Notamacropus eugenii: one gene and its partners. The main gene of each other region encodes a partner of the protein of the gene in region 4 in a complex. Links are inferred from orthologs where the notes say so. Each region holds a gene or a part of one and is shown on either strand. Other genes may lie near its edges.

The links.
Region 1: SNRNP40 (region 4) and ARMC7 share a complex: the UniProt entries of both Homo sapiens proteins name them as parts of the minor spliceosome. The link is inferred for Notamacropus eugenii from reciprocal best matches to the Homo sapiens genes SNRNP40 and ARMC7.
Region 2: SNRNP40 (region 4) and SRRM2 share a complex: the UniProt entries of both Homo sapiens proteins name them as parts of the minor spliceosome. The link is inferred for Notamacropus eugenii from reciprocal best matches to the Homo sapiens genes SNRNP40 and SRRM2.
Region 3: SNRNP40 (region 4) and CRIPT share a complex: the UniProt entries of both Homo sapiens proteins name them as parts of the minor spliceosome. The link is inferred for Notamacropus eugenii from reciprocal best matches to the Homo sapiens genes SNRNP40 and CRIPT.

What each region holds. Positions count from the first base shown.
Region 1 is NC_092873.1:341,058,984-341,066,392, reverse strand, and holds the start of ARMC7 (armadillo repeat-containing protein 7), read right to left. Parts: upstream 3,015-7,409; 5' UTR 2,927-3,014; exon of another isoform or gene 2,827-2,926; intron 2,825-2,826; exon of another isoform or gene 2,653-2,824; intron 2,469-2,652; exon of another isoform or gene 2,378-2,468; intron 1-2,377. UniProt on the Homo sapiens protein: As a component of the minor spliceosome, involved in the splicing of U12-type introns in pre-mRNAs.
Region 2 is NC_092872.1:56,350,070-56,357,345, forward strand, and holds the start of SRRM2 (serine/arginine repetitive matrix protein 2), read right to left. Parts: upstream 3,017-7,276; 5' UTR 2,824-3,016; exon of another isoform or gene 2,816-2,823; intron 1-2,815. UniProt on the Homo sapiens protein: Required for pre-mRNA splicing as component of the spliceosome. As a component of the minor spliceosome, involved in the splicing of U12-type introns in pre-mRNAs.
Region 3 is NC_092872.1:662,290,709-662,297,753, forward strand, and holds the start of CRIPT (cysteine-rich PDZ-binding protein), read right to left. Parts: upstream 3,018-7,045; 5' UTR 2,965-3,017; coding exon 2,919-2,964; intron 1-2,918. UniProt on the Homo sapiens protein: As a component of the minor spliceosome, involved in the splicing of U12-type introns in pre-mRNAs. Involved in the cytoskeletal anchoring of DLG4 in excitatory synapses.
Region 4 is NC_092876.1:72,718,413-72,725,350, forward strand, and holds the start of SNRNP40 (U5 small nuclear ribonucleoprotein 40 kDa protein), read right to left. Parts: upstream 3,025-6,938; 5' UTR 2,750-3,024; coding exon 2,597-2,749; intron 1-2,596. UniProt on the Homo sapiens protein: Required for pre-mRNA splicing as component of the activated spliceosome. Component of the U5 small nuclear ribonucleoprotein (snRNP) complex and the U4/U6-U5 tri-snRNP complex, building blocks of the spliceosome.

The DNA of each region.
Region 1 (7,409 bases), on a different chromosome or scaffold from region 4:
TGGTGGGCCAGTCATGTACGCGATTGGAAGATAATAACTGTATGGTTTCAGTGCTACACTGGTACCATTTAATGTCAGAGACCTAGAAGGTCTCCAATATTATTGTACTCCATCCCTCTAGAGAATGTAGGAGAGACCAAGGTAAAGAATTGCACAGGATAAGGTAAGGATGGATTGCAATTTGGATCAGTGAAGGGCACGTTCACAGAAATGCTCAGAGATGGACAAGCAAACATCATCCATTTAAGTCATCTATGTGACACATGCCCCTAAAATGAAGGAAAGGAGGAAGGGAGAGGAAGAAAGGGAGAAAAGAAGGAAGGGAGGGAGGAAGGAGTGAAGGAAAAAGGCAGGATAAAAAGGAGAGAGGCAGGGAGAGATGTTGGAAGGGAGGGAAGGAAGAAGAGAAGGAGAAAGGACATAAAAAAGGGAGGGAGGGAGGTGGAAGGAAGAAAAGGAGGAAGAAAGGGAAGGAGAGAGGAAAAGAGGGAGAGAGGGAGATAGGATGGATGGAAGGAATGAAGGGAGAGAAGGAAGGGAAGGAGAGAGGAAAGAAAAAGGGAGAGAGGAAGGAAGGCAGGAAGGAAGAGAAGGGAGGGAGAAAGAGAGAGAAGATAGAAGGGAGGAAGGAAAGGAGGGAAGAAGGGAGGAAAGAGGGAAGAAAAACGGGAGGGCAGAAGGGAGGGAGTGAGGAAGGAAAGGAGAGAGGGAAGGAGAAAAAGAGTGGAAGAGAGAAGGAAACAAGTGTTTATTAAGTGTGCTAGCTGTGCTAAGTCGTTTACAAATACTTCATATGAAAGAGCTGAAGTCCAGGGCCAAAAGGGTCCTGATGCCCCAACTCAGTGCTCCCACCAATATGCCACTGCAGGTAACAAAGAGGATCAATGATAGAGCTGGAAGAGACTTTAGGAATTATGTCATTCAACCCCCGCCCACACTCCCCCCCCTCTTATTTTACAGATGAAGTCTATGGAGGTAAGTGACTTATCCAACGTCATACAATTATTAATCATTGTAGGCTGATTTTTAAACACTCATGGCCTCCACATTCTCTGCTTTTGGCAATGTGGCCTCTAACCTTGTCATTCAATTGCAAAGGCTCTCTCCAAAGTTGTCAAGTGATCTCCTAACTGTCAAATCCAATAGTTTTTTTTTTTTTCCAATTCTCACCCTTCTTTACTTCTCTGCAGGGACTGAAACTGTGTTGGCCACTCTTTCCTCCTGGATACACTCTCCTCTCTGGGTTTTCATGAACCTGCCCTCAGTTTCCCTCTTTATATGACCACCTCTTTTCAAAATCTCCTTTTCTGGGTCATCATCCATCCCATTCCCCCAGCTGGTATACCTCAAAACTTTGTCCTTGAGCCCTTTTCTCTCTCTACAATCTCACTTGGTGACCTCAACTGTTCTTATAGGATTAATTATCATCTACATGCAGATAAACCTTATCTATAGACCCATATATCTGGTCCTACTCTCATTCCTGAATTCTTGACTTGTATCTCCAACTGCCTACTGGATGTTTCAAACTAGACGTGCTGGAGACATCTCAAAGCATATCCCAAACAGAACTCCTAATTTCCCTATTCTTGTTTGGGGGCAGCACCATCCTATCAGTTATCCAGAATTGAAACCTAGGTGTTATCTTTGACTCCTATCACCCATCATATTCAACCAGTTGTTAAGTCCAATCAATTCTAGTGTTAGAGCATCTCTCCTACATATCCCTTTCTCTCCTCTGCTCTGGTGTAGGCCCTCATCCCTTCATACTATGGGCTATTTAGAAAGCCTGTTGGTATCCCTATCTCAAATCTCTCCTCACTCTAGTCCATCTTGCACTCAGCTGCCAGTCATCTTCCTAAAGGGAAGGTGTGACCATGTCAATGAGGAGTCAAGTGGCACCATATCAAATGCAACTCATGTCATCATTTCTGATTATCATAGTCCTCTTCGAAAACAAAGGACAAACACAAGAAAGCATGTCCAGGATCAAATATAAAACCCTCTGGTTGGCTTTTAAATCCCTTCACAACCTGGCCCTTTCCTACCTTTATCTTCCTATGCCTTTCTCCCCTCACATACTCTGTAATCCAATGATATTGGCCACATGACCTTCCATCTCCTCAATCAGTGCATTTTCCTGATGAGTTCCCAACGCTTGTAATTTTTTTCCTCTTCATCTCTGTCTCCTGACTTCCTTACACTAAAACCCCACTTTCAAGAAGCCTTTCCTGGGCGCTCCCTTCTGGGATCATCTCCACTTCATCCAGAGAACATCGTTTGCACAAAGTTGCAACTTGCACGTTCTCTGTTACACTGTACCTTCTGCGCTTATCCCTGAGTCTGGCACACAGTACGAGCTCAATAAACGCCTAACCTGCCTTCGCTCTGCACCGGCCTGCCTTCGGGCACTCCTCGTATCTCCCTCTTGCACTTGCTTCCTTGACTCCCCTCGCCCAGGTGAACACTAATTGTTTTGTATACATTTACGTAAACATGTCCTCCGCCACCGCCCCACCCCCCAATGTAAGTGAGCTCCCAGAGGGTCGTTCCCCCCTCTGTATTACGTCATGTATAGGTATATTCCCCTCCCCCATACGCCATGCCCAAGGCGTCGCAGAGTAGGCGCATAATAAATGCTGGTTGACTGACTGAACGTGGCCCAGGCTTCCAGAGCCAGGGTTCCGCAGCAGGCCCTTCTCCCCAGCACACACGGCCTCCGTACGGACCAAGGTAACGCCACCAAAACAATCCCCCGAGTTTCAGGCATCCTGCCTCGACTTCCTTAAATCTCACTATGGGGGACGAGGGCGGGGCTTCACACACCGGAAGTCACCGCGCTCTGTCGTTTCGAGATTGACCTGGAGACAAGAGAAGCTGCTTTGCAGGGACCCCGCGACCACGGCCCCCAGCTCTCTGCACCTACCGCGCCCGCTCTGCACGGCAGTTCCTCCAGAGCGGAAGGCGGTGTTGACCCCGCCCCCAGCGGCGGAAGGGGCGTGGCCAGGCTCCGCCCTTGGCCGATCCCAGCGGGAGGCGGGGCCGGTGGAGCGGAGGGAGGCGGGGAGCGCTATTATAACCTAAACTTGGGCAGGTCATGGATGCTCTGCAGTTGGAAGGCACAATTCCTGGCCGCCCATCCCCCACCCATCCTCACACCCAAAACCTTTCAACAGGTGAGCTCTGCCAGCTGGGGCCATCAAGGGTAAGATCTCATTCCTGTACATGCCTCTTTGCCTTTTTTGTTTTTGTTGGAAAAAGTAGTTAATATGGACTGGTGCAGATATGAAATTTGATCTCATTGTTGTCTATCCCCCCCCCAAAGACCCACACCTCCCCTGAACACCCCCACTTCTGTTGGAGTACCACTATCCTTCCAGTCTCCCTGGGGTTCTCCAGTAACCGCTGACTACTCTCTCAACCTAAACTGTTCTTTTCAGAGTTTCTAAGGATGTCAAGGCATGCAAGTCCACTCTGGCTCTCCTTGATTGGCCAACAGAAGGCCCCAGGCCAAGCCCCGAATGGCTCAGAATGAATGTGAATAGCAGTTGTTTCTGTTTTGGCTAGAGGGTCTTCCCCTCCCAGATTGATTTTTTTTTTAACTAGGTGAAAGAGGACATTCTCTGCCTCACCTTAGTCAAATTGAGACCTGGGAAAGACCTTAGCTTGAAAAGGCCAGCCTTCCACTGCATCAAAGGCCATCTCCAGTCATCCTGATGTATGTCTTGCCCAGTTAACTTGGAGTTTACTGGCTAGATTTCCTTCTTTCTTGTCTCTCTTTCACAAAACCTTCAACCCAGCTCACTCTGAGGCTCATGAATGGGGAGCACAATAGGTCTCTGCCCAGGCTTCACTTCAAGGTTGCATTTAAGACCTTCCTGGCTTAATATCAATGGTAACTCTCTTTGGAACAGCAACCCTGAGGGTCTTCCCCTCTCAGCTTGAATTTATCTTTTTTTCTAATTAAGGGGACCATCCTTTGATTGACTTCTTAAAGAGGTCTATTCATTGAATGGGCATTACCTCACTCTGAAAAAAGTAGCTGAAAAAAGCCTTAGCCTAAAAAAGGCCAGGGTCTCCCATTGCATCCTGGCCCACCTCCAGTCATCCTGATGAATATCTGGCTATTGGACCCAGATGGCTCAGGAGGAGGAAGTGAGGCTGATGACCTTGCCCATCCTTCCCTCACTCAAAACAAAGTCAAGTGCAGATCATGTCATCGTTTCTCTGATGGCATGGTATTCGGAAATGAAGGACAAACACAACATGGTTGTCTTCAAAAGTGAAGGACAAATACAGCATCTTGCCACTGGACTGAGATGGCTCTGGGAAGAAAGTGAGGCTGGTGACTTTGCACAGCCCTGCCTCACTTAAATCCAATTCACTTTGAGTGGGATAGACTTACTGAAGACTCCTCAGATTGTAATTTTTCTCCCAGGGGTGAGGTAAGGCCTAAAGGCTCAAGGTTACAATATTTTTAGAATAGAATAGTTCCATATAAGGATATAAAACTGTGTAGTGTATTAGGGTCTCAATGATTGGACAAAACTTACATAATTCCTCAATGTCTTCATTTCAAAAGGGATTGGTTAGATTTCGTGTCTAGAATGTAAGACCATATTCTCAGCTAATGAGGATAACGGTCAGTGGTGGGGAGGAGGGACTTGCGTTAGGGTCTATATAAATCACTGCCCTTTTCTTTGTCTTCGGCTTTCCTACTCCTACAGGTAAGCCCCTCTTCTTGAGAAACGAATAAATCACTTTTCTGTCATCACTTTGAGAGGCCTCTGAGTAATTGATTTATGTAGGGACCTGAGCCATCCCACACAACTTGCATGTCATGGCATCACTTCCTGTCTTCCAGAACAAAGGACAAATAGCAACCAAAACTGATGAACTTTCCCCAGTCATTATTATTGACCTGTCTGCAGCATTTTACACAATGAACCACACCTTAAGAGATACTTACTCTTTCTCCTCAGAAAATGACCTAGGTTTGTTACCTATTAAAAAACTCTTGTGGGGGTGGAGCCAAGATGGCGGAGTAGAAACACACAAATACGCTAGCTCCGAACCCACAGCCCATGAAATATCCGTAGTAAAGAGCCGCCAATAAATTCGGGAGCAGGAGAAGCCACATAATAGTGGAGCGGATAAGATTTCTGTTCCAGAGGGACCTGCAAACCTCTTGCAAAAGGTCCGTCGCGCTGCGGACGCGGAGCCCAGCCCAGCCCTGCACGGGCCCCAGCAACGAGAGGAACAGATCCAAGCGGACTTCAGGGACGGGATCTCCAGCGGCCACGCGGGTCCCTCCACCCACAGGTGACGGGGGTCGGTGAGAAGGTCTCTTTGGTGGGTTGAGAGGGGAGTGGGGTGCCCCCATACTCAGGCCCCCTCGGAAGGCAACAGCGGAGGCGGGAGCAGACCCGGGCTCCCCAAGCAGGCAGGAGCCTGGATCCATTGTTGAAGGTCTCCGCATAAATCCCCTGAGGGAACTGAGCCCATGAGGCGGCCCTGCCCCCACCTGAGCACCTGAACTTAATCTCACACTGAATAGCAGCCCTGCCCCTGCCAAAAGCCCTAAGGCTGGGAAGCAGCATTTGATTCTCAGACCCCAAGCGCGGGCTGGGAGGATCCGGAGGCGAGGTGGGTGTGAGGAGAATATTCAGAGCTCAAGTCACTGGCTGGGAAAATGCCCAGAAAAGGGAAAAAAACCAAGACTATAGAGGGTTACTTTCTTGGTGAGCAGGTTTCTCCTCCCCTCCCTTCTGATGAGGAAGAGCGGTGCTCACCATCAGGGGAAGACACGGAAGTCAGTGCTTCTACATCCCAGTCCACTCAATGGGATCAGTTCTGGGAAAAGGTCTTAAAGAGCCCAAACAATTTTCAAAATCATGATAGAGAGGTGGAGGAAAAACTGGGAAGAGTAATAAAAGACTTGCAAGCAAAGTATGAACAACAAATCAGCACTCTGCTAAAGGAGACCCAAAAAAATGCAGAAGAAAATAACACCCTGAAAAATAGGCTCACTCAATTGGCAAAGGAGGTTCAAGAAGCCAATGAGGAGAAGAATGCTTTCAAAAGCAGAATTAGCCAAATGGAAAAGGAGATTCAAAAGCTCACTGAAGAAAATAGTTATTTCAAAATTAGAGTGGAACAGATGGAGGCTAATGACTTTATGAGAAACCAAGAAATCACAAAACAAAACCAAAAGAATGAAAAAATGGAAGATAATGTGAAATATCTCATTGGAAAAACAACTGACCTGGAAAATAGATCCAGGAGAGACAATTTAAAAATTATGGGACTACCTGAAAGCCATGATCAAAAAAAAAGCCTAGACATCATCTTTCATGAAATTATCAAGGAAAACTGCCCTGATATTCTAGAACCAGAAGGCAAAATCAATATTGAAAGAATCCACTGATCACCACCTGAAAAAGATCCAAAAAGAGAAACTCCTAGGAATATTGTGGCCAAATTCCAGAATTCCCAGGTCAAGGAGAAAATATTGCAAGCAGCTAGAAAGAAACAATTCAAGTACTGTGGAAATACAATCAGGATAACACAAGATCTAGCAGCTTCTACATTAAGGGATCGAAGGGCATGGAATAGGATATTCCAGAAGTCAAAGGAATTAGGACTAAAACCAAGAATCACCTACCCAGCAAAACTGAGTATAATACTTCAGGGGAAAAATTGGTCTTTCAACGAAATTGGGGACTTTCAAGCATTCTTGATGAAAAGACCAGAGCTGAAAAGAAAATTTGACTTTCAAACACAAGAATGAAGAGAAGCAAGAAAAGGTAAACAGCAAAGAGAAGTCATAAGGGACTTATAAAAGTTGAACTGTTTACATCCCTACATGGAAAGACAATATTAGTAACTCTTGAAACTATTCAGTATCTGGGTACTTGGTGGGATTACACACACACACACATGCAGACGCACACACTCATAGAGACAGAGTACACAGAGTGAATTGAATAGGATGGGATCATATCTTAAAAAAAAATGAAATTAAGCAGTGAGAGAGAAATATATGGGAGGAGAAAGGGAGAAATGGAATGGGGCAAATTATCTCTCATAAAAGAGGCAAGCAAAAGATTTTTTTTTAGTTTGGGGAAAAAGAGGGGAGGTGAGAGAAAAACATGAAGCTTACTCTCATCACATTCCACTAAAGGAAGGAATAAAATGCACACTCATTTTGGTATGAAAACCTATCTTACAATACAGGAAGGTGGGGGACAAGGGGATAAACAGGGTGGGGGGGACGATGGAAGGGAGGGCATGGGGAGGAGGGTACAATTTGAGGTCGACACTCACAGGGAGGGACAGGATCAAAAGAGAGAATAGAAGTAATTGGAAGCAGGATAGGATGGAGGGAAATATAGTTAGTCTTATATAAC
Region 2 (7,276 bases), on a different chromosome or scaffold from region 4:
CTACCTCTTACTCCCCCTCAAACTTCTGACCTATCATACTGTTCTTTCCCTGGCATGACCTTCCTCCTACCACATTTCCCTGTCACATGCCCCCTACCTTAAATTGTTTTCCTGTATACCCTGTTCCTTTCTCCCACCTTTCCAAAATGTCCTAAAGAAAGAAAAGATCAAAGAAAAGAAATCCTAAGTAGAAAACTAAGGTATAGTCCCAAGTAAGAGGAAAAAGTGAGAAGACTGGGGTAGAAGGGAACTAAATAAGCAGAACTATAGATAATATATACTAGAATAGCAGCCTGGGAAAAGCTGGAAAGAGGTAAAGGATAGTATGTATGAAAGAGATTCCAAAGAGGAAGGACTTTGTCCAAGAAGTCTACTTGCTCTGAAAAAAGAGGCAAGACAAGGGCCTGGGTTTTTTCTAGCCCCCATAGGCCTTAAGGAAAAGGATAAAAAAGTAAAAGCCCCCATAGACCTTAAAGAAAAGGACAAAAAAAAAAAGTAAAAAAAGTAAAAGAGGATGATAAAACCAGAGCAAAGAAAAAAGAAGGGTCAAGCAAGGGGAGAAGCAGGCCAAGTGAAAACAGGAGAAAAAGAACAGGAAAACTTTAAGTGAGAGGTTTTTCCAGTAGTCCAGAATCCCACCCTATCATCTTCTCATGTTCTCCTAACTCCTCAAAATCCCAAATCGTTGTTTTCCCCTTTTACTCTCATTTCCACTTCTCTCCCAATGTCCTGGAGTTCTGTTCTCTAAATGTTCAACCTATTCACTCACCCACACTTCCATACCATTTCACCCAAACTCCCTTCCGTTCCCCTAGAGAGGGAAAACCAAGTGACTTCGTTTGAAAAAATAGTGGAAGAGAATCAATGGGAAAGAGAAAATTGTAAAAGGAAGCCCTTGAGGAGGGAAGCATCCAAAATAGTGCTCAAAAAAGGGTGGGAGGGTGTTAAGAAAAGACTACAGGGTTAGGGGCAGTAGGAGTGTGGGGGGAGAAGAGACATACAGAGAACATTATTATGAATCTAAAGGCTTTAGGAACTGTAGAGGACCTTTATGAAAAAAGGTAGGAAGGAGTCACTGTAGGGAATCTCTCAAGGGAGCCACAGAAAAAAAAAAATTAGAAGCCAGTAATAAAAGGTAACAATAAAGGACTAAGAGAAAGAGATCTATAAGTAAAGGACTAACATGTAGAGGATCTGGGGAAAAATATGAATTAGCTTTAGAGTTACAAAAAACCTATTAAAGTTGGGAAAAATATCTTTTTTTCTAACTGATCAAAACAGAAATATGGAGCTATAAAATGGCACCAGATTATAATGGAGAGTAATAACTCAGGAAAATAATTGTGCATGTAATGAAAGGGAATCTACAACGAATCATGTTAGAAAATCCACCAGTAGTAAAACAAGGTAACAATCAAGAACTAAGAGCAAAGGATCTACAAGTAAAGACTAACAGGAGAAAAAGAAGAGGCTACCAAAATACATGAAGAGGATCTGGGATAACTCAGGAAATTAACTGTGCATGTAATGAAAGCAATCAACAACGAATCACGTTAGAGATGAACCTCAGAGTTCATCTAATTCACCAGCTCATTTTAGAGGGGGGGAAAATTGAGACGGAAAGAGAAGTGACTCCCCCAAGGTCACACAGCCAATCACAAGAACCCAGGTTTCCCGACTCCCCACTCAGTGGTCTCTCTCTTGTCATGGCTATTCTCAGGGAGATATTGATTGTGAGTGCCTTGAGGGCAGGGACTCTCTTACCTCCTTTTCTACCCTCATAGTTTAGCACACTGCCTGGCACACAGTAACTGATTTATAACAAAAAAGAAAAAAAAAAAGACAAAAATGTTGTAATGTTACTTCACACTAACTATACTGAATACATGTTTTTGACTGCCTCCTTTTTGGCATTTACAGCGTTTAAGGCAGATTTTCCAGTTCAAATGTTTAAAAAAGCTTTGGAGTACCCTGTACAAAAAGCTACTAACACACGGTTTTGGCCATTATATGGGGAAAGTGAAGAAATCCTCTAAGATGGCAGATGAAGAGATAAAATATATTTGGAAAATAATAGGCAATAGAATCAGATAAGACCAGGGACCAATTACAAACATAAGGGGTTGAAAAGGGGGCAGAAAACAGCAGACAGAGAGGAAGTGGATAGAAAAAACGAGTTAAGAGGCACTCTGGGAAAGGGAAGACGACATGCGAGTAGGTGGAGTGGGAGGGGGTCAAGGGCCTAAGGGGAGGCCGAAGGGGTTACGATCCCTAGTGGGTGAAGGAGCCGAGTATAGTAAAAATGAGCGGGGAGGGGAGAGTCGGAGTTGGCCTACTACAGAGTACCCTGCTCCCCCACCGGAAGATGCAGGGGAACAGGAATTTTTTTCTTTTGGAAGGGAAGGGTTTGGCCACAGGTCGAGGTACAGGCATACAGTTCTCCACAACTGGCACGTGGAACGGGAAGGGGGGGGTTAGTTACAGAAGCGCGCACCCTTCCCTCGAGTCTCAGTCACCCCCCCCATGTCCCCTCCCCCGCGCGCGCGAGACCGCGTTCGGTTGGCGACGCGCGCCGCAGCCGAGGGGGAGGGGGTGGGGGGGAAGAGGAGTACGCGCGCCGGGGTCGGCTACGAGAAAAGGGGGAAGTGAAAAGGAGATAGAAGGGTATAGAGAAAGAGTAAGGAAGGAATAAGCGCGAGCGCGAGACAGCGAGCGCGCGTGCGCGCGTGCGGCCTGGTCGGTTCTCCGCGCGCCTGGCCTCGCGCCGGGGCCACCGCGCGGCCGCCCCTCCCCCCACCGCCCGGCTCTCTCTCACCCGCTCACCCGCCGCCGACGACTCCTCCTCCGCCTCCGCCCGCCGGGTCGGGAAGGAGGGGGGGGAATTCTTCCGCGACTGCTTTGCGGGGTCCTGGGTCCTCCGGGGCCTGGAGTCGCTGCCTCGCCTTGCCTCCTCTTCTGCCTTGCCACAGCCGCCACCGCCTCCTCGCTTCCTCGGGGGCCGCAGCGGGCTCCGACTGCGCCACTCGCACCCCGCCTGGGCCGCGCTGCACGTCAGCACGACTAACAGAGGACGTCAGCACGCACGCACGTCGCAGGGATCGCCGGGAAGCGTAGTGTCGGAGGCCCTCTTCTCACGCTCTTTACATTGGTTTTCCGCGCAGTCGCAAGCCTCCAGTCTTTTTTCTTTATTTACCCCACACACTCCCCACCCCTGCAAACTTTCATATCGCGATGCCTCGAGGGAAATGTAGTCCCGTGAGCATGTACGTCTGCTTAATACCACCAGGAACCCACTGCGACTCCCGTCGTGCACTACGGGTTGGGAGGTGCGGGCAGCGGAAATGTATTCTGGAGGCTGGCCACTGGGGGGAAAGGGAGTATTGTATTAACGCCACATCAATAGGATGCCCATAAGGCATTGAGAAGGCCTAAACCACAGTTCCTCCGTCCCCAGGGGAATTCTGGGAGTCGTAGTTTCAGAGGGGAGAGAAAACTTGTGTGTTAGCATCACCCCAGGAGCAGGGGGATGGGGGGATGGGCTTGCCATTTTGTCTGTCGCCATCTTGAGAGACGATGACCTGAGTCTCATCGACCCTTACCTATAATTCATTTGTTTATGGGAATGGTCTACAAACATATCCAGGATGTACTTGATGAAAATAATGTAGAATATGCACGCTTAAAACGTGATTTTCTACAACAATCCACGTTATTAGGGAAGTGTCCCATTGTCCCATAGAGCTTAGATAATCACAGCCCCCAGAAGCTCACCCCCAATAGTTATCTGTATGTCATTCGGGCAGCCTAGTGCAGTACGTAAAATTCTCACTTACTGGTTGTGTGACCTTGAGACAGTCACTTGTAGTCTGAACCTCATTTCCTAATATCTAAAAGGAGAGTGAAAATACCTTCAGGCTTTCACCAAAGTCCTATTTTTCACCATATCAAACATCCCCCTGGGTTCTCCAAGGCACAAAGAGCACAGTCAAACATGTCCCAATAAGCTATCAAAGCTTTGGGGTAAGGATAGGTGAGTGTTGTTTGCAGGCCAGCCTAGCTGCCTTCACCAATACCTATCACCTGCAAGTTGATGAACTTTTTGGCCACAATAACTCTGGAAATCCATCTCTTGAATTTATGAGAGATTATGATCTTCAATAGAATGACCATCCACAGGAAATTTAAAATCCTTGATATTCTTCCATCAACAAGCATTAAATACCTACTACATGTACCAAAGGGCGGTTGAGAGAAATCCTAGTGATATGGAAATGTGAGTTGTCATCATACAGAAGAAAAACATCATGGAAGTGCGACAGCTACAAAAGGGTCCATTTTTAAAGATACCTCAAAGAGACCAGGGATGGTATCATTACAGGAAAATACAATCAAGAAATATCAGCAGTTATTCAACAGATATTTATTAGGGGCCTACTATGTGCAAAGTACAACCCTAGGTGCTGAAAATACAAGGACAAAAAATTACTTTCCCATCCCTATAAAACATGAGATTGATCTATACATATTTAGAGAGTGTCCTTAAGTTTTTAAAAAATAGAAGGAAACAAAGAAGCTCTCTTGAACAATTTTATATCATAGATTTCATCTTCACAGTCACAAAATTGACTGAAAGGTGCTGAGAATTCAAGATCTCTCTCTGTCTACTGTTGATCCCAAAAAGCATAGATTTGATTTTCTTGTAAAGAGTGCCCCCTGCACATGTTAAGATCATATGATTCCTTGACAAATACCATCTCTAAGTATTAACATCAGGTCATAAAACAATGATATTTGTTCATCAAAATGTGTTTTCTACTTTTAGTAAAGAAATTCTGTACAGAGTCTAGAAGAGGTATTCTGTATAGAAGGTGAACTTCTCCAGATGCTCCTGTATAGAGATAAAATTATGCTGGAGTAGATGATGTTTGAGTTGACCTTTAAGTTAAAGAAGTGGAAAAAAAGTATTCCAAGTAGGGGAACAAAAGTGTTATAGAGAAGGGGAGAAAGAATATCCAGTTTGAAGTGAAGTAAGATTATAGAGAACTGATAGGATCTGAGTTGGAAGGGAACTTAGAAGCATTTTAATCTTATCCTCCTTTCCGATTTTGCAGATGAGGAAACTAAGACCTAAAGAGATAAAGTGACTTGTCTGAGGCCACAAAGCTATTAAATGGCAAAGCCATGTTTCAAACTCAGGTTTCCTAATTTCAAATCCAACAGCAAATCTATCCGCCATAGCCTCACATGCTATAAAACTGAAAAGGTGGTGTCACCAGATTGTAGAAGACCTTGAATGACAGGCAAATGAGTTTGAACCTTGATCATAATTAAGAGAAAGAAATTCATTTTCGTGGTGTTCTTATGTTTACAATTCACTTTCCTCATGAAAAATTCTGCGAGGTGGTTGATACATGTATGATTGGTGCCCATTTTATAGATAAGGAAACTGAGGCTCAGAGGCCTAAGTAAGTTAAAAAATTCACACAGCTGGTAAGTAGTAAGAGCTTAATATGAATCTAAGTCTTCTTACAGTCACTTTTCTGGATTATGGGATTCCAGGAATTGTGCCTTAAATTTATCTCTGTAGCCACCCTGTACTTATTACAGTACCCTCTGCATTATAGAGTTTAATAAATGTTTGTTGAACTGTAAGTTCAATTGGGATTGAGAAAGTCTTCAGGGATGTATTCTAATCATAAACTTAAAAATACCTTGCCAAAGTCCTGACCTTTGAACTAATTACATGATATCCTTTTCATACAAAGGATTTATCACAGAAGACTCAGTAGGCACCATCATAATAATATACACCTTAGTAATATCACATACTTAAGTTGTAATCTCCTCAAATACTTCAAGAGCTGTGATTTTATCAGTGTGGGCAGTCCCTTGACCAACCCTTTACTCTTTGAGTGGCTACTGGAGAGATGAGTTAGATTTTGCCAGTTGGAGAAGAGGATTCTGATCAATTCATCAACAAGTATTTATTGAGCCTTGGAATGCAACACCTCATGAGTACCCTCAGTCTGGAAGGCAGACCAAATAGGTTTTCCCAAAGCCTCCATTTAATGAGGCCTTCCAAGCCAGTCATCTCTTCATTTCTCACTAGCTGTACACTTCTGAACTGAACTCCATCATGTCCCCACACCTGGGCATCTTTCCCCCACACGTGCTTTCGCTCACTCCCTCCCTCTTTTCAGCTTCCTTTCGTGTGTTGTCATCCTTCATTAGACCATTAAGTTTCTTAAGAGTAAGAACTGTCTTTCCCTCTTTTTTGTTTTTGTATCCTCAGCACTTAGCACAATGCCTGATACCTAGTAGGAACCTAATAAAAATTTATTGACCGATTGACTGACAGCCCTAGCAAGTTCCAGATACCTCCTGGGTGCTGAGGATACAAAAGCAAAAGAGAATTGCTTCCTGCCCTCAGGATGTTTACATAGCAGGAAGAGAGAACTGCAAGGAAACAGAGAAAATGCAAGATATGTTCAGATAGTTGTGAGAAAGGCTCTTTGGGGGAAATACTGAGTCTTAGGAAGTAGTTGGAAATCAAGCTTTTAGGAGTATGTGCAGTACTTTATAGGAGCTTGAACTTTAGGTAACTGATACCTTATACCTCATCCTTAACACTGGTTTACCTCTGGGCTACCCCTCAAATCCCACACTTTCAGGTTAGGTGTCCAGGGAGATAACTACCCTAGAGGTTCAAGGTATTCTATGAGTCTGTACTCCTAAAACTACAGTTCACCATTCCCCCACCCACCCCCACTCCCACCCCCCCTTACCTTTAATGGTCAGCTCAAAGCAAAGGCATATCTTAAGATAGCATCAGAAGAACAATTGTAACAAAACATTCCCCCATAGACCTGGAGCTCAGTCTTCTACAACTACACATTGTCCATGGGAAGAGTGGGTACTTATATAGAATACCTTAGTAGAAAGGCAAACACCTAAGAAACACATGTGGCCCAGGTACCTCCAGCACTGCAGGATTCTCATGACTTTTTCCTTCTGGAGTCCTCATAGTGTTCCCCTGAGATGCAGAATCTCTCCTGCACTAGTCATTCATTCAGCTGAACTCCCTGGATCTGTTCCTCTCTGCAGTCCAGCCTTCCACAACTAAGGCTCATTGCTTTATCAATACACAACTCATACTCCTCAAAGTTATCTACTTTCATTACCGGCTGGGCCTACTTCTACTGGGTTCAGTGTTTCCTACACTGTAGTCCTGAAGGAGCCACCATAGCTGGAGGGGAAGGGGACAATGAGAGAAATC
Region 3 (7,045 bases), on a different chromosome or scaffold from region 4:
TTCCAATGCTATTCTGCATCTGGTACTGATAAATTAGTACTATTCTCCTCCACGAAAAGCCCCCAGTGTCTCACTCTAATGCTACCTACCCCTTCCATTGTGTTGTCTGGAATGCCTGCTCCATAGGTAACAAACCTGCTTTCATCTTAAATCTTTGTCTTTCCCACTTCTTCCATGTTCTGGCTCTTATTGAGAACTGGATCCCTCTGACTACAGCCTACCTTTCCACTTTCACCCATTTCCTCCATTTCCCCCCCTCTTTCCCCCTCCCCACACTGAGATGGGGAAGTTGAATATTCCTTGCTTCAGAGTGCCAATTTCAAGTTTTCCTGCTACCATCACTATGCAGTAGTCTCTCTTCCTTTAACATTCACTGAATCCCTTTCCACCACCCAATAAAAATTCTAGTAGCTGTTATCCTTCTTTTTTTAACTTCAAAAAAATTTTTATTTTTATTTTTCAATATTTACTTCCATAAAATTCTGAGTTTTAAATTTTCTCCCCTTCCCTCCCTCCTCACTCTCCAAGATGGCATGCAATCTTTATATACATTCATATTAAACCTATTTTCATATTAGTGAAAATTTCACATTAGTCATATCGTAAAGAAGAATTAGAACCAATGGGAGAAACACAAGAAAGAAGCCAAACAAAACAACAACAAAAAAGAGCAGACAGTATGTTTCAATCTGCATTTGTACTCCATAGTTCTTTCTTTAGATATGAGCAGCATTTTCCATCATGAGTCTTATGAAGCTGTCTTAGATCCTTGCATTGGTGAGAAGAGCTAAGTCTGTGAAAGCCGCAATGTGGATTCTGAAGTCTGCCTGCTCATCTCTTCTTACAGCACAACAGTATTCCATTACATTCATATACCACAACTTGTTCAGCCATTCCCCAACTGATGGGCATTTCTCTCAGTTTCCAACTCTTTGCCACCATAAAAGGAGCTGCTATAAATATTTTTGTATATGAGGGTCCTTTTCTTATTTTCACGATATCTTTGGAATACAGACCTAGAAGTGGTATTGCTGAATAGCTGTTAACTTTCTGCCTCCAGTACACTCCCCCTCTTTCCTCAATGAGTTCACAATAAGATCACAATTGTTCTCTCCTCCCCAACTCTTTCCCTCATACTAGGACTTCAACATACACACTGATACTCTCTTAAACACCTTAAATTCACAGTTCCTCTATGCCCAAAGGGCTATAAAACTGTGAATACCCTTTGATAAAGCAATTACCACTATGAGATCTATATCCTAAAGAGATCATAAAAAAGGGAAAAGGACTTACATTTACAAAAATATTTATTGCAGCTCTTTTTGTGGTTACAAAGAATTAGAAATTGAGGAGATGTCCATCAATTGGCTGACTATGAATGTAATGGATTGTGCTATAAGAAATGATGAGAAAACAGATTTCACAAAAACCTGGAAAGACTTACATAAACTGATGCTAAGTCAAGTGAGCAGAGCCAGGAGAACATTGCATACAGTAACAGCAACATTGTGTGATGATCAACTATGACTAGCTTAGCTCTTCTCATCAATACAATGATCCAAGACAATTCCAAAAGATTGATGAAGGAAAATGTTATCTATATCCAGAGAAAGAACTATGGAGTCTGAATGCAGATTGAAGCATTTACTATTTTCACTTATTTTTGTTTTTCTTTCTTGCGGTTTTCCCCTTTTGTATGGATTCTTCTTTTACAACATGTCTAATATGGAAATATGTTTAGCATGATTGTACAATGTATAACCCATACCAGATTGTTTACTGTCATGGGGAGAGAGGGGAAAAATCTGGAACTTAAAATCTTATTAAAAAAATGAATGTTGCAAACTATCTTTAAATGGAATTGGAAAAAAATAAAATATTACCTCTCTTACGCACAGATCTGAAAAATAAACCCAACTCATTTAATTTACTCATTTTATATGACCTATTCCACCACCCCACCTCAGCCATACACAAAGAAGCCATAACCTTGCCCTTGCCTTCACCGACAATGTATTACCTCCATGGTAACGACCTCTTGAAATTTCCTTATCTGATCACAATCTACTGTCATTCTCCCTCTCTCTCTATCCTGTTCTTCATCCAAATTGTGACCTCCAATTCCTTAAGCCTTCAGTTCTTTCCCTGGCCACCACTCCTGCACTAGCTGCATTCTCCTTTCTTTCTCATCGTGACCTCTTGGTGAACCAGTTCAACTCTACACTGTCCACTTCAACTGAGTCCCTGGCTCTGATCACGCTGCTGATCATGGCCTGTTAGCTTTGGCCTTGGATCATTCCCATTATCTGCTGCCTTAGTTTCTGCTCAGACGCTGATGAACAAAGCAAATTTGGATTCCATGGAAGGAAAAAATAAAATCCCAAAATTGGAGATAGCCAAAAATGTAATGGGTTGTCTTGGGCTCTGTCCTGGACCCTCTTCTCTTATTCCCCTATCCTATTTTTCACCTGGTGATCTTACTCAATCTCCCGGATACAATTACCGTCATTTCTATGCTAATGATTCTCAGATCTACTTTCCCAGCACTAACTTCTCTCCTGACCTCCAAATGCTTTAGACTTTAGAATCTCCAACTGCTTATTAGACATCTCAAAGCGGATGTCTTATAGATATCTTAAACTGAACATGTCCAAAACTGAATTCATCTTTCCCTCTTTCTAATTTTCCTATTACTATTAAAAAATAATTAATTACATTAATTCCTATTACTATTAATGGCACTTCTCAGTTCCCCAGGCTCACAAACCTAGATGTAGTCCTAAGCTCCTCACTTCCACTCTCCCCCAATACCCAATCTGTTGCCAAGTACAATTGATTTCATCTTTGTAACATTGCTCAAACATATTTTCTTCTTTTCTCTGACACTGCCACCACCCTGACGCAGGTTCTCATACCTGGAGTACTATAATAGCCCACTGGTTTCTTCACACTCCAGTTCATTCTCCATTCAGCTGAAAAATTATCTGTCTAAAAGGCAGGTCTGACCATTTCATCTACCATTCAATAAACCCCAGTAGTTTCTATGACCTCCAGGGTCAAATATAAAATACTTTAGTATTCAAAGCTCTTCACAAAATGGCCCCTTCCTACCTTTTCAGTCTTCTGACTTATTCACCCTCTACTCTGTGATTCAGTGACACTGGCCTCCAGGCACTTCCTCATACAAGACACTCCGTCTCCAGACTGTGCATTTTCAGTGGCTATCCTCCAAGCTCTCCCTCCTCATTTCTGACTTCTGGCTTCTTTCCAAGTCCTGGCTAAAAATCCACCTAAAATTCCAGCCTTTCCTGATCCCTTGAAGGCTGATGAATGCTAGCTGCCTGTTGATTATCTCTTTATCCTGTATATAACTTGTTTATATACAGTTTTACCTGTTGAGCTACTTGAGAGAAAGGATAGTCTTTTGCCCTTCTTTGTATTCCCAACGTTTTAGCAGATTGCCTGACACATAGAAGATGTTTTACAAGTACTTATGGAGAGACTGATTACCTTCCTACAATGGGTATAACGTGGAGGATAAAAAATGAAACCAAGTCCCTCTTCTTAAGGGGTTTGTAATCTCCTTAAAGAAACGATACACACACACATATTAATTACAAAGAGTGATTAAAATCAAATGAGTGTTAGAATCATACTGTTCTTTTGGATATTAGAGATATGTAAAGACCATGGTGGGCCTACATACCTGGGTGGAATTAAACTAGACCTTGAAAGATAGGCAGGATTTGACAGAGAGAATTGGGTGGGTGAAACTTAGTTATGACAAAGGCATATTTTTGGGCTCAGGAACGTTCAAATCTGGACTACAGAGACTGCAAGCTATGATGGAAATAGCACTCACTGAACATGAATGTGGATAGAGGATAGAGGATCCAGTTGATTTTATGCAGTTGGAGAAGGGGAAACCCTTCCCCCCCCTCCGTGAATTTCAAGTCAGAAAACCTTTCTTTAAATCCCTGTTCTATCACTTATCACTTTTCGGGTCTTGCACCAATTAACGATGTGGGCCTCAGTTTTCTTCTCTGCAATATTGGGGATATGACCAAATGTAGGGTCCTACTGATTAACGTGTACATATACATACACACATACACACACGCAGGGCTCACACGGTCCTGCTGCCGTGGGCCCTGGGGAGCAGGCTCGTGACCAAAGATAAGGGCAGCAGGGGGGATTTAGGGAGCAGGGTAGAGACGCGACGCCTGTTGAGACGCGACAATCGGCTCGGGCCTCAAGCGGGGGAACAGGGTGGAAACGGAGGGGAATGGGCGAGAAGCACCGGGAGAGGCTTTGGCGATGTCGGAAAGGAGAGGCAGAGGACTAGCTGAAGGGAGGGCGGTCAGGGCAGGGACCAGACCCCCTGAGGCTGAGAAGCACAGGGAGCCTCGGGAGTTTGGGCCAGGGGTCGCGCATTCATCTTTGTCCCCTCTTTCTCCTCTGCCCCCATCCCCATCCCCCGGAGCGATAGGTACCCTCACTCACATTTCTCGCAAACCATCCTGTTAGAGGGATCAAGTCGGTTTAACTACCTTCCCAAAGGCGCGGGATTCTTCTAAATGTAAACAATCCTCCGGCCGGGAACCTCCTTCCGGGTCATAAGGGATTTCTTTCCGCCTTACTAATTCACCTCCCCCACACCTGGAGCGCTGGTGGAGGAAAGAGGGCGGGGCTTGTCTCCTCTTTCCGGCCTTTCTCCCTCTCCGATTGGCTGCTGGAGCTTCCCAGCCATTGAGTGAGGAAGAACTCACGTGCGCACGTGTGTGTGCGCCTGCGCGTAATGCGAGACAACCAGTCGCACCTGAGAGCCGAGAGGGCGGGAGCTTTACCTCCCACCCACTTCTGCTCAGGCCCGAGGCTCAGGTAAGATCGAACGGAGAAGCCTGGGGGTCACCACGCCCCTCTCCGCTTGGGCCTTGCTCCGGCAGGTCCTGCTTCCCCGCCCCCCCACGTCCCTCCTCGGAGCCCCGGGCTCTGCGGTGGAGTGGCCCCGCTTCCTGCCCTTCTCTCCTCCGGTGTGCCTCTCACTGCTTCCGCTGCCCTCCCACCTCTGGGACGCCGAAGGGGCCCCGAGCCAGAATTCACCTTGGAGGTCACTCCTCCAGCCCTCTTTTACTAGAGGCCCTGGACAGGTAAAGCGACGTGCCCGCCTACCCGGTCCGCGAGGGGCGCGTTTCCTTCGGCAGAATGTTCTCTTTCCGAGGGGAATGAGATTTGTGAGAAACTTTTCCTGGTTTCTCCTGGCTCCTGTGGGATCGTAAGAGATCGTCTCTAGACCAGCCCCTCTGGTCGGTAGACGAGAAGAGCGAGGACCGAAGATGGGAAGTTTTAAGTCTAAGGTCCCTGAGCCGGCCGTCGAAAAGCCCTCTGGCTGCGTGTAGTCAGTCCTCTTCCTGTGACGCTTGGCTCCTCCGTCTGCGCCGTCCCCTTTCAGGTGCTTGGCTTTACCTGGAGCCACGGTAATAGATCGGAGACAGCTAGGTAGCACAGTGTATGGAATGCTATACCTGGAGTCTGAAAGACGTGGATTCACGTTTGGGCTCAACGTTTGTTAGCTGTGTGCACGTCACTAAACCTGGGCCTGTTTTCTCCTCTCTAAAACGGAGATAACTATTTCCCTTCTAGAGTTATTGTGGAGAAGAATAGATAAAATTTGTAAAGCGCTCTGCAAACTATTAATGTTAGCTATTATTATTTTTTAATAATAATAGAGGCTTTTTTTAGCCTCAAACTAAGTATGATTGGCATCTAGGGACAATCTATCTCTCAGTCTTTCTGGCTCTGTGCATGGGCACATAGCTAGAATTCTCTCCCCCCTAAGAGCCTCCTTGGATTCTCTGGCTTCCTTTGAGGCTCGACTAAAGTTCTACTTTCTGCAAGAAGCCTTTGCCTTTCTCTCTTCATGCTGTTGCTTTTTCTTTGAGATTATCTTCAGTTTATCCCGTATAGGTATTTTTTGTGCATAGTTAGGTGTTTGTTGTCTCTCCCTTGGGATTCTTGAAGGCAGAGACAGTTTTTGTCTTTCTTGGTATTCCTAGTGCTTAGCAAAGTGCTTGCCATGTAGGTACTTAATTAATGCTTGTTCGAAGTTGGTGTTCCTTGGTTCAGAATAGTATGATTAATCATTCTAGGTGATACCAGGCTAGTGCTTTGCTATGAAAGTCCGTATAATGTCACTTAGTATTTGACAGGAGGTGTAAATAAGATAGTGTAGTATTGGAGTGTTAGTCGAGGTAAGACATGGTAAAAAAGAAATGGCAGAAATTATATTTTTAAGGGGTTCCACAATGCATAGCTTTGATTCTAGCAGGGGCCAGTGCTACAGGTGGATGAATTTCTTTTTTTTTTAACCTCTTTTTAAAAAAATTTATTTACTAGTTTAAAACATTCAATTCCACAAGCTTTTGAGTTCCCAATTTTCTCCCTCTTTTTCCTCTCCCCTCTCCCTACGATGGCGTGCAGTCTGATATAGGCTGTATATATACATTACATTAAAACATTTTCACACTAGTTATGTTGCAAAGAGGAATTATAAGCCACGAAATGAACCACAAGAAAGAAGCAAAACAAAAAAGAGCAAATACTGTTTCGATCTGCATTCAGTCTCCATACTTCTTTTTATGTGGGTAGCATTTTCCATCTTGAACCTTTTGGAGTTGTCTTAGAACCTTGCATTGCTGAGAAGAGCCAAGTCTTTCAAAGTTAGTCATTGATCAGTGTAGCTGTAACTGTATACAATGTTCTCCTGGTTCTGCTCCCCTCACTCAGAATCAGTTCCTATAAGTCTTTCCAGGTTTTTCTGAAGTCCACCTGTTCATTATTTCTGATAGCACAATAGTATTCCATTACATCTATATACCACAACTTGTTCAGTCATTCCTCAATTGATGGGCATCCTCTCAATTTCCAGTTCATAGCCACCACAAAAAGAGCTGCTGTAAATATTTTTGTACATGTAGGTTCCTTTCCTATTTGTATGATCTCTTTGGGATACAGACCTAGAAGTGGTATTGCTGGGTCAAAG
Region 4 (6,938 bases):
CACCTCATCTAGAAACTGAAGAGGTGGCCTGGGCCATATCTCAGGTTCTTCCTAGCTCTAAATCATATGCCCGTAAGTTAAAAGGGTCGTACAAACATTAAGCACCCAGCACAATTCTGTCTCCTTTTGTCCATAGACAACAAGGTAGTACTGAGGGTTGAGGCCTGGTTCCTTCATACTCACAATTCCACACTCTGGACCTCAGCTTGTCCCTTTAAAAATTACAGGACTGGACCAGAAAGCGTCTAAGGTCCTTTTAATCGCTAAAATTTATGATTATAAGATCTTTTTCAGTCAGTCAATAAACACTTATTAAGTGCCTACTAGGTGCTGGGCACTGTGATAATTGAAGGGGATTCAAAGATAAAAGATAGTCCCTGCTTTCAAGGAAATCCCACTTTAATGAGGGAGACCACAAGCAAAAAGTTATCTACAAACAAGCTTTGTACAGGATAAGTAGGACATAATCAACAGAAGGAAAGCCCTAGAATTGAGGGAGGTTGGGAAAGGCTTTCTGTAGAAGTTGGGATTCTAGCTGAGACTTAAAGCCATAAGGTAGAGCTCAGGAGGGGGAGCATTCCAGGCATGGGGAGAACAAGCAGTGAAAATGCCCAAGGTCAGGAAATGTTCTTGTTTGAGGAAGAGTCAGGAGGCCAGTGTCACTGGAGGGTTGTACAAAACATAAGAAAACTAGAAAGGGAATGGGGCGGAGAGGCATGCAGTGCTAGGTTATGAAGGCTTTGAATTTGAAACAGGATTTTATTCAATCCTCAGGATAATAGGGAGCCATTGTAGTTTACTAAATGGAGATGTTATGGTGAGGCCTGCACTTCAGGAAGACCACTTTAGCTGCAATGGACTGGAGTGGGGAGAGACAGGAAGACCGATCTGGAGATTATTGCAATAGTCCAGTCTTGAGATGATGGAGACCTGTACCAGTGTATTAGCAATATCAGAGGAGAGAAATGGGTACATGTGAGAGATATTACAAGAGACCTGACAGTTGGAGCTCAGCAGAGATAAGGGCAGAATAGGTAGATCTGAAAACTGCCAGCAAAGAAATGATAAATAAATCCACAGAAGCTAATGAGATCACTAAGTGAACTGTGTAAAGGGGGAAAGTGAAGAAGGTCAAAGACAAAAATCCTATGGGACACTCCCAGATAGTGAGCATGACCTGGAAGAGAATGCAGGAAAGGAGACTGAGATAGAGCAGTCAGAAGGGAGGAGGAGAACTGGGAGAGAAGGTAGAAAAGAAGTAGGAGAGAGTGCTGTTCCAAAAACCAAGAGAGAAGAGAGTACAAAAGAGAAGAGCGTGATTGACAGTATCAAGGGTTGAAGAGAGGGCAGGAAGGATGAGGACTGAGAAAAGGCAATCACTGAATTTGGTAACTGAAAGATCATTAGTAATTGGAGAGAGAGGTTTCGGTTGAGTGATGAGTTCTGAAAACAGACTAGAGAGTTAAAGTGAGAGGAAAGAAGTAGAAGCACCTATTGTAGACAGCCTTTTCAAAACAGGAGAAAAGACAGAGAAGAACAGCTAGAAAGGATCAAGTGAGGGTTTTTTGAGGATGGGAGAGCATGTTTGCAGTCAGCAAGAAAGCAGACAATAAAGAGAAAGAGGTTGAAGATCGTGAGAGGTAAGGATGGAAGGAGCAACCACCTGGAGGAGACAGGACAGAATGGGATCACAGGTGCAGGAGGAGGCAAGGAAAAGGGCCACTTCACTACGTGAGCCAGGGATGAAGGAAGAGATAGATATGAGTGACAGGAAACGAGGAGGGGAAAAGAGAGAGCTCAGAGAGAATACTCTTAGCTTTTTCCGCAAAATAAGAAGCCATTTAGCCGAGAGAACTGGGGAAGGGATACCAAGAGAAATTTAAGAAAGGATGAAAAGATTTTGAAGAGCCCCCAGGGAAAGTGGGATGGTGAGTCATTTAGGGAGGTATAAAAGGATCGTCTCCTAGCACTGCAGGCCAACTGAGGTCACGTAGCATATATCGCAGCGGACCCAAGAAGCACGATTTGGGGATTTTTTTTCCAGTTTTCCTTAGTAGCAAGAGAGAAGAAGCCAGTGGAGGCTTTCAAATAGCGAAGGGGCTATCACACAGAAACGATTTTTAATGCTTGTTCCTCCCCACCCCCAAGCAGAATCAATTGGAAAGATATTACAAATTTCATCTCAATACAACGACAACACAAATCCTAACTTTGATAACTGTCCCAGCTTTGAGAGCTGAGGGTTTGAGATGGGCAGCCTCGGAAAGATGTCCCCCGAAGGGGGTGCGGGACCGTCACCCTAGGTCTAGGACCTCTTTGGGACCCGCGTTCACGATCTGTAAAGGGAGGGTCGGGCTCAGAAAAAGTCTGAGTCCAGAACCTCCCCCAGCCTCAGTTTCCCTCCCTCTCTTTAAGGTGAGGAGGCTGGGCTCTCTGAAGGTCTCTCCGAGGTCCCTGACAGTCCGAGAAGGATGAGGAGGGGGACGGAGAGGGGGAAGGAAAGGGAAGAGGAAGAGGGGAGCGGAGGAGCAGGAAGACGAGGGGGCGAAGGGGAGACGGGAGCTGACAGGACTCGTTAGCTCGCTAGGTCACATACCGCTTGTAGCAGGGCCCCCGGCGGAGGCTGCTGCCCCGCAGCAGGCCCGGCCCCGGTCCCCGGCCCCGCCGCTCCCAACAGTAGTTCATGACGGGGCCGCTTGAGGGGAACGAGCGGCAGCTCCGGACCCTTCCGCTTGTGCTGCTCGATCATGGCCGCCTCAAGCCGTCCGCGCTGCTCAGTCCACAGGCCGCGCCGGGGTTTACGGCCCGGCTCCCATTGGCTAAGATTGTCCCCGCCCACCCAGGAACTTCCGTCCTAGGCCGGACCAATCAATTTCCTGTGTGTGTTCTAGAGCAAGGGTAGAGTAATTCATTCCTTCTCATCCCTTCTTATTGGATAGAGGGCGAGGCCTTCAAGAAAAATATAGGACTGTGATTGGCTGCTATGTGTGAGGGAGGGACACGAACAAACTTCCTGTGCAGACTCTTTTGTTAACTTTCCTTGCTTCTTCTTATTGGGTCAGAAGACGGGCTGTCACCGCGAGAATCAGTCTCCGATTGGTCATTGCGTTCGGTGGGAAGGTTTCCTGAACGCGCGGTGGCTGATGGGCGGTGGCTAACGGATTGGCTGTGGGGAACGGAGGCCTACGATTGGCTGCGCTCCGAGCGCTTCATGGCGGCATCCTCTTAGATCCTGTACCTTGGAGGCTGCTGAGTGAGTGAGTGTGGTGGGCCGTCTTGGGGGCCTCTCCGGGCCTGTGGGCTGGCGGGCGGGCGGGGATCTCGAGCCCAGGACTCTGTGTTTGCCCTCTCTGATTAGACTGGCTTGCCATCTTCCCCGCCGTAGGAGACTTGTGATGCTCTCTGTTGAGGACCACAGTCAGGCAACAAGCATTTATTAAGCGCCTGCTGTGTGCCGGGCTCTGAGAATTCCAGTCCCTGTCAGTGAGGAGCTTCCATTCTCCTGCTTTGGAGAAGAGGATACCTGCGAGGTTCAGTGGACAGAACCCCGGGCTCCCTCTCCTATATTACAGTTGCTCTGTCCCAAGACCCCCCCCCCCCCCAGTCCATCCTCCACCCAGCTGCAAAAGTGACATTTCCAGAGCACAGGTTGGACCCCGAGTACGCCTGTCACACTCTAAAATAATCGTCCAGCCCTATTGCCTCTCGAATGGAAGGATTCCGGACCTTGTTTGTGTGCTGGACCACTTTGACAGTCAGTCTGGGGACTCCGCTGAATCGTCTTCTTAAATGCACAAAAGAAAATACGCAAACTTATAAAGGAAGAAAGGGAGGAAAGAAGGAAGTATTTATTGAGCGCCAGGCACTGTGCCATGCCCGTTACAAGTGTTATTTCATTGGGTCTTCACAGCTGTGCAGGGGAATTTGACAGTTGAGGAAACTGAGGTAGACAGAGGTCAAGTCGAGAGTCACACAACTAGTGAGTAGATTGAACTCGTTGTCTTCTCCCTAAAGCTCCCTCCCTTCACACACCATCCCTCTTTTACTGTAGAGGAAGACAGCACCGTCCTAACAATCATCCTGAACTGCTCACTAACTCTTACCCCTCCCATCTTTGCAGCATATGTGGGATATGCCCCTTCTGGCCCCTATCACTGCCATATCCCTGGACTATTGCAATAGGGGCTGGAAGGTCTGCCTGCTTCACCTCTCAACCCACCCCAATTCATCCCTCTATTCCATGAACTTGTTTTTTGTTTTTAATAGTCTGGCAACTTTTATTTCAATACATTTGGTTTTTTGGGGGGCAGACAGTCATTCATTTGATAAGCATTTATTAAGTATCTACTATATACCAGGCACTGGGCTAATCATTGTGAATTCAGAAAAAGGCAAAAGAAAATCGCTGCCCTCATGAGCTCACAATCTAATGAGGGAGACAACCTTCAAGTAAATATATACAAATAACCTAATATGCAAAATAAATAAAAAATAATCAAGAGATGGAAAGGCATTAGGGATTGGGGAAGACTTCCTGTACACAGCTGGATTTTACCCGGGACTTGAAGGAAGAAGGGGAAGCCAGAAGAGAGATGAGGAGAGAGAAAGCATTCCAGACATGGTAGGCAGCTAGAGAAATCAGTCAATCGGTAAACATTTATTAAGCACCTACTATGTTCCAGGTACTATGCTAAGCACTAGAGATACAAGAAGATGCAAAAGACAGTCCCTGCCCTTAAGAAATCCAAATTGCTGCAAAACAATCCAAATGAGGAGACAGCATGCAAACAACTATATACAATTATGCTCCCTTTCCCCTCATTCTGGAAATTTATGTTCTAACTCAGGGGTGGGGAACCTGTGGGCCTCGAGACCACATCGACTTCTAGGTCCTCTGGTGCCACCTTTTGGCTGAGTCCAGGTTTTACTGAACAAATCCTTTTATTAATGAGATTAGTTCTGTCAAGTTTGGCAGTCAAAGGGCCGCACTTGAGGACCTAGAGGGCCACATGCAGCCTCAAGTTTCTTCTTGCAGTTTCTTCCCCTCTCCCCCTGCAACCAAACTGGACTCCTGGAAGTTTCCCAATGTGCCCTTCCATCCCTGCCCTCTGCCCCCTTTGTACAAACTATCCTGCTCCCCTAGAATGAATACCCTTCCTCTCTATCTTTGCCTCTCAGTAACCTTAGATTCCTTCAAGGTCCAGCTCAGGAATCACCTCCTCCATGAGATCTTCCCCAATCTTCCCAGTTCCCAATTACTCTATATTTATTGATCTATGTACATCTTGTACCCTGCTCCCCCTATAGTAAAATAAGAGAACTCTGACAATTGAGACAAGGCTTTTGCAGCTGCCCTGTGATTCTATTGGTGTGGGTGTCTCTCCATATGGAAACTCCACTGATAGTAGGCAGAGACTGTCTTTTGCGTTTTCTGGTATCCCTAATGCTTAGCATACTACCTGGCACATAGTAGGCACTTAATAAATATTTACTCATTAATTGATTGATTTTTCTGGCCATCTACCATATCTGGATTGCTTTCTCTCCTCACCTTTGCCCCCTGGCATCCCCATCTTCCTTCAAGTCCTGGGTAAAATCCAACTGTGAACAGGGAGCCTTCGCCAATCCCTAGTGCCTTCCGTCTCTTGCCTGTTTACCATGTGTATAGGTTATATGTATGCATTTATGCTAGTATAGATTTAGGCCTTACCTTAAAATGGCTTTAAGTCCAAGACTTTCTTTTTACAGATGAGGAAAATTGAGTCTCAGAGAAGTCAAGTGATTTGTCCAATGTCACGTAGTCATTTTGTAGCTGGAATTTGAATCCAGTGCTTTTGACTCCTGAGGCTATTTTTTTTCCCCAGTGTGCCATGTCACATAGCTAATAAATGTTCAAGGTGGAATTTGAACTTGGGTGATTCCCCACTTCTGGTTTAGCTCATTAAAGCTGCCTCTCATAGGAAGGTACTTTTATCAAAGCAGAAAATCATGTTTCTGTGACACTTTAGTCACAACAACTCTGTAAGATCACTATTTTGGGTACTCACTTTACAGGTGAGGAAGGTGAGGCAGACAGAGGTGAATGGCATCCCCAGGGTCAGACAGCTAGTAAGGACACACACTGACTACTCTGCCTCTCAAGCTGTAAAGAGCTGCATAAATTGTAGAGTTGTACAAGAGTAATTGTTATTGCACTCCGTCTTCTTCTGGTGTTTCCTTGTAATTCTGAGGTTCTAACACCAGCAACATGGCCAAAGTTCTGACCCAGGGTATAGCAAGCTGGGGAGGCTTCAGATTTTCACTGTGGGTGTACTGTGTACTTTAGCAGCTCATTAAGAGGAGGCTGGCCTCTAGGTGATGATCTTTTTAAGGTAGAGCAATTCATCAAAGGTAGCTAATTCACATAGGAGTTGTAAAAACCACCACTCCTTAAAGTGTTGAAGCCTTACTCTCATGAGTTTGTTCTGTGCTCAGCCTTGTATGAGCTGGGGGTGGGGAGGAGAACATTGATATTATGCTGGAAAGTTTCCAAAGAACTTTTTCTGTCCATTTTATCATTGGGTCCTCACATTTACTATGTGGGACAAATGTGTGTTCGTCCTTCACTGTCGAAGAAGACCATACCATCAGAGAAATAATGACATGACTTGCACTTGACTTTGTTTTGAGGGAGGGAGGGCTGTGCAGGTCACCAGCCTTACTTCTCCTCCTGAGCCATCTGAATTCAGTGACCAGATATTCATCAGAATGACTGGAGATGACCCAGGATGAGGCAGTTGGGGTTAGGTGACTTGCCCAATGTCACACAGCTTCTAAGTGTCAAGTGTGTGAGGTGAGATTTGAACTCATGTCCTCCTGACTCCTGCACTGGTGCTCTATCCACTGCAACCACCTAACTGCCCTATGTGGGACAAATACTACCAGTTTTGATGTCCCTT